2 linked regions of the Kluyveromyces lactis genome follow. The protein of the gene in region 1 interacts with the protein of each later gene in a pairwise test. Links are inferred from orthologs where the notes say so. Each region holds a gene or a part of one and is shown on either strand. Other genes may lie near its edges.

Region 1 (2,742 bases):
ATCAAGAATGATATTCAACTATTTGTTCATCTTCAATATCGAATATGCATTGGAGGGATCTAAAGAACTTTTAAAACGGTTTACCAATCACAAGACAGATGTAAAATTTGAGTTAACAGAGAAAGGCCCATATAAGATTGATTATTTCTCATCGTGGGAATCGTTGAACTTTTTACAGTTGTTAATAATCGCATGTCAAACTCAAGAAACTATTCTTTTCCAGAATCTAAAATCACAATACTCAACTCTTGCCAACAAATACAACTCTGAGCTACAATTCTTGGGCCAAGAATACTTCGGTATCAAGGTCGAGAAACCAATCAACTTCTTGCAAGATATGATGTCTGGTTTCTTTGGAGGTAAATAATAATAGTCTTCGGTATAAACATACTCTATGTTATATATAATGCTAACTTTTCTTGATGCTACTTCTATTCAGAGCCTCAATGAGCTCTGGCCTCTTGGCACGGGTCAAGTTTTCTTTGGCCTGTTCGTAGGAGAACCATTGACGGTTTCTTGTCTTCACTTCAGGATAATTGTCCTCCAATTTAACATTAATCATCTCGAAGAAATGGAATTCGGACCTGGGAGGCCATTTGTTAACAGTTTCGTCATTCGAACTCTCGAATGCTTCCAAATCTGGGTTCCAGTCCTTTGGAGGTCTCATATCCTCAATGGAACCAAGTGCTTTCACTATATCGCCTGTGGCACCAGCTTCTTCCCAGGTCTCTCTTCTTGCAGCGGACTCAAAGTCAGGTTCATCACTTTCAATACCACCCTTTGGCAACACCCATCTCTTCTTATGAGCGGATGACTGGACCATTAAGACATTCTCTCGGCTTTCATCCAGTATTATACATCCTGCAACGAGTCTAGCACCAGTGACACTTGAATACAACTGATTCTCACGTCCTACTCTTGAGGTGTCGGTCTTGATAAAGTCTGACATCTTCGGTTCCTTAATACTATATATATAGACTGTTTCTCAGACCGATTTCATCAACAGGGTACACAAGACACATAGCTGTGACTTACCAGCTGTGGTCAGTTTGAAGGATACATGAACGTGCGGCCACGTATGAAATACACGTTGATCGGTGGTTCAATTGTGAATCTGACAGAGACTCTTGTTTCAGGGTAATTATTAAATAATACGTGTTAGGACCGAATCATTAAGCGCAACACCACAGAAGAAACAGCTGGGAAACCGTCTCTGGCAGATACGTTCTTCCATTCTCGTAGCCCTCATATGGTTAGGGCACCATGCTAGTCAGTATGGGGTTCATACTCCCACTTTTTAGCCTTGTATTTGTCCACGTTATTCGATTTAAACTCGTCTTTTCAACATGGAATGAAATCAATCGAATCAAAACCAAGTTTCCATCACTAATGAATGAAACTTCAGCAAATTAGAAAACGTATTGCCCTGTACCAAGCACTGAACGATCTTTCAGTTTTAGCAAGTGATTTACAAGGCAATAGGCACGGGCATGATTCGTTCTACGTTGATTTTCAGAGAAGATGGGTTACCATTGTGTGCCTCAGTGGATGATGACACTGATCCCAGTTTACAAGAGCAAAAGAAGAAGGTGAAGATCCTAATATCAAGATTCACTCCGACGTCAGCAAACGAGGCTACAGTGGAAAGTGGTGATTTCGAGATCCATTATATCAGATTGAACACCGTGGTCTATATTGTGGTCGCAGAAAGGAACTATCCACGTAATTTGGCATTCTCATACTTGGCAGATATACAACAAGAATTCGAACACAGTTACGGGGGACAACTCTCGAAATCGAACGTTAGACCGTATGAGTTCGTATCCTTCGACAACTTCTTACAAAAGACCAAGAAAGTTTACAACGACAAAAGAGTACAGGGGAACATGGACCAATTGAATCAGGATCTAAAAGGTGTCAAACAAATCATGACAAAAAACATCGAAGATCTATTGTACAGAGGTGATTCCTTGGATAAGATGAGTGATATGAGTGCGTCCCTAAGACAAGACGCTAAAAAGTACAGAGCCTCCGCACAAAAGATCAACTTCGACCTATTGATTAGCCAGTACGCGCCAATTGCGATCATAGCATTCTTTTTCGTATTCTTATTGTGGTGGATGTTCTTAAGATGAAGTATTCGCTGTACAGAAGTATCGATACACTTATGTACACTTAAATATGTATATAATTCCACCCTGTATAAACTTCAGCAAAAAAATGTACAAATATTGGCTCAGTATTGCTCTGAATGTGCCCTGACTAACGTATGTCTCATCATCATCAATACGCCTTTTTGCACTTGAACGATTCTTTTCTCAACATGAAAAACCTTTAAAAAGCAGATGATCTTCCTTAAGGGAAGAGGGAAATATCATGTAAGAAAGTAAAGTAAAATAGAGTTTACAAGTCGGTATACAACACGATAGATACATTGAGGTTATTGTAGTACTCGTGAATAGACAATATGGGAGACAATGATGCAGATGCCGTTGATTTCAGAGCTTTGATCGATGAGTTTCGATTTAGCAGGGTCTTGAACTCTAATCCGCAAACCAAGCAAATTTCATTATTAGGTACGATTAAGGGTCAGGATGCTATCGTGACTCTAGAGAAGACACACTTCCAGTTTGATAAAGTGGTGAACAATCCCAATTCGTCTACGTTGTCGTTGCACCAATGTGAATCTGAATATTCTTGTATGAATTCCATTCAGACGTTGAAACCAATAGCAAATAACGA
Region 2 (2,892 bases), on another chromosome or scaffold:
ATATCACTGACATTTCTCTTTATCTTCAATTTTGGGAAAGCTCTTGGCTCTCTGGCAATTTGTGTCCTTAATGCATCAACATGATCTTTATAAACATGCGCATCACCCAAAGTGTGAATAAATTCACCAGGTTCCATATCACAGACCATAGCAATCATCTTCGTCAGTAGCGCATACGACGCGATGTTAAAGGGTACTCCTAGACCCATATCACATGATCTCTGATAAAGTACACATGACAATCTTGGTTTGGCACCTTCTCCCTTGGGGAAACTGACGTAAAATTGCGAGAAAACATGGCATGGCGGTAAAGCCATCTTGGGGAAATCCGGAGGGTTCCATGCAGAAAGAATTATTCTTCTGTCGTATGGATTTGTCTTCAACTTATGAATAATCTCCTTCAACTGATCAACACCTTGACCACTATAATCATCATCACATGTCTTATATTCGGCCCCAAAATGTCTCCATTGGAACCCGTAAACTGGTCCTAAATCCCCCTCTCTTCTGTCAGTCAACCCAAGTGAGTCCAGGTACTCACGAGAACCGTTACCTTCCCATATCTTAACGCCTTGTTCTGATAATTTCTTCCCGTCTGTACATCCAGCAACAAACCATAAGAGCTCCAAAATAATACCTTTCGTAAACACTCTCTTCGTAGTGAGAAGCGGGAAAGTATCATTGCTCAAATTAAACCGTAACTGTGGAGGCGCAAAAAGGGAATAAGTCCCTGTACCAGTTCTATCTGGTCTGAATTCTCCCTCATTGATAATCCTTTCACATAAATCCAAATACTGCTGTTCTTCCGCGTTAACAGCCTCAAGCTTAACTCTCTTCACGTTTTCATCGCTCAGCGTCATGGTTGACAAATGTTGGTTGTTTAATGATCCGATAAAACGCCAAAGGAGTCGAAGGATGGTTGAAGTAAGATAGAGTTTAAACTAGAGATGGCCTTTAACTCTTAAAAGCCGTAGTCTGATTCTTAACGCGTTTTCGTGTTGTGGGAATTTTTCAATGGCCGGGTAATGATGGTGAAACAATGTCACGTGCTACCTAAATTCTTAATTCCATCCTCGATGAAGCTTTGGTCTGGCAAACGAATGCGAATCAAATTTAACCAAAGGTTACTTTGGTTAAGGAGGTACCGTTCTACTGGTAATTATACTGTCTATTAACTGTCCAATTAGAGGCAACTATCGTGTGTGTTTACCCTATCTAATCTGGGACTATAAGCGTTCCTTGTTCAAGCTTTTCTATGTTGAGTAAGTGTCAAAAAGAATATATACAAAGAAAGTGACTACCTTAATATGAGTAATAGAACTGAGCTCTTCAAAAAGTACATGCAAGTGATTGCAGAGACTCAGGGAATTGATGATGCTAGGAACGAATTGAATAATACGAAAGCGAGAGAGGATAGAGAAAAGGTGAAGGAAAAGTTTAGTGTAAAGGATACTTTTGTAAAAGAAAGTAAGCAGTTGATGAAACATATTATGGAATTCCAGATAGTGATAAGGCAATTGACTCCCAGGTACGAAAGTGCTACTGACATGACTGATCAGGAGAAAGATGATTTTGATACAGAGAGCAAACTTCAATTACAGCAATATTTCGAGAAATATAAGCAATTGGAATCGTATGAAAGACAGAGACAAGAAATGATGAAAGAAAAGTTAGAGAAATGGTCCGCAACCGTACCATTTTTCTCTAGATCAATTGACGATGTATCCAGTTTCCACAAGGTGAATAATCAATTTCGTATGGGTATATTACAGTCATTGAATATGTGGCTCATGAAGATTTCAGATAGGTTGTCAACCATTCAGCAGACACGATTATCCAGACAAAGACATATCGAAGCCATTGATTTCAATGCTCAATTACACTTACCTGAAGAAATTTCTGTATCACAGTCTCCTATGATAACGACAACTGTTGAAGAAATCAAACAGTACGAGGAAACGATGTCCAAACTCTCTTCAGAACAATTACAAATCTTGGCCACAGAGCATGAAGAACTTCTTAATTTGAAGAACGAAGAATTACAAAAAGCAGAGGCACTACGGAGAACCGCAGTAGATATTGCATCGCTACAGAGTGAATTGGCTACACATTTGCAGGTTCAAACACAAAATATTAATACATTGCTCGATAATCAGACTGACGTGGAGATGGAAATGGAAAAAGGTAACAGACAGTTGAAACAGGCCAACAGGAAAGGAGATAGGCTCGCTAACATGGTCATGTGGTTTGCTATAATTTGTGGACTGCTATTGTTATTCTTCGATTACATAAATTAAGGTTAATTCGTTTCTCTCTGTTGCAATTGCTTACTACACGGTGATACGTAATGGTGTATATATGTACGGTAAGTTTTTAATAATCTAAAGATTTGATCAACGCAGCTCCGATTGTTCTTCCCTCCTTTCTTAGAACCACCCTTCCTAACTTCTTATTTTGCTCGAATGTTAGCATTGGGATTCTTCTTTTTTTCTCCACCAGCTCGATCTCAACTATGGCAGCTTGTTGAGAACCCAAATGCTTCACTTTCTTTTTTAAAACCTTAGATGGATTACTTTTATCGACAGTACAACACAATTTTTTGATTCTACAAGGTTGTTCTGTAGCACCTCTAAAGAGCATGAGCGAGGTACCAGGTAATAACGGTCTATCCAGCCTGAAAGTCAAGAGTCTTGAGGTAAATTCTTGGGAGCTTGGGATATCAAATCCAACGATAGATGCCAAATCACCACCTTGAATATCTTCAGGGAAGGCGTTATGCAACTTCAATTGGACAAAGTCTCCATGTAATGCAATATCCACTTTTTGAGAGTCATTGCCGCATAATATTGAATCAACAACGCAACTCTGCTCAGATGGATATATTGTGATAGT

The links. The genes of interacting proteins can lie anywhere in the genome.
Region 2: the proteins of SEC22 (region 1) and UFE1 interact in binary tests that used the Saccharomyces cerevisiae proteins (3 or more experiments, as listed by UniProt). The link is inferred for Kluyveromyces lactis from reciprocal best matches to the Saccharomyces cerevisiae genes SEC22 and UFE1.

Annotation. Positions count from the first base shown.
Region 1 is NC_006042.1:1,885,121-1,887,862, reverse strand, and holds SEC22 (SNAP receptor SEC22), read left to right. Parts: upstream 1-1,490; coding exon 1,491-2,135; downstream 2,136-2,742. Other genes in the region: protein GET4, read left to right, coding at 1-367; polyphosphatase DDP1, read right to left, coding at 410-949; KLLA0_F20229g (uncharacterized protein), read left to right, coding at 2,468-2,742. UniProt on the Saccharomyces cerevisiae protein: Nonessential SNARE involved in targeting and fusion of ER-derived transport vesicles with the Golgi complex as well as Golgi-derived retrograde transport vesicles with the ER.
Region 2 is NC_006037.1:696,594-699,485, reverse strand, and holds UFE1 (Ufe1p), read left to right. Parts: upstream 1-1,307; coding exon 1,308-2,297; downstream 2,298-2,892. Other genes in the region: CDC21 (thymidylate synthase), read right to left, coding at 1-860; ribosome dissociation factor GTPase HBS1, read right to left, coding at 2,374-2,892. UniProt on the Saccharomyces cerevisiae protein: Syntaxin required for targeting and fusion of Golgi-derived retrograde transport vesicles with the ER.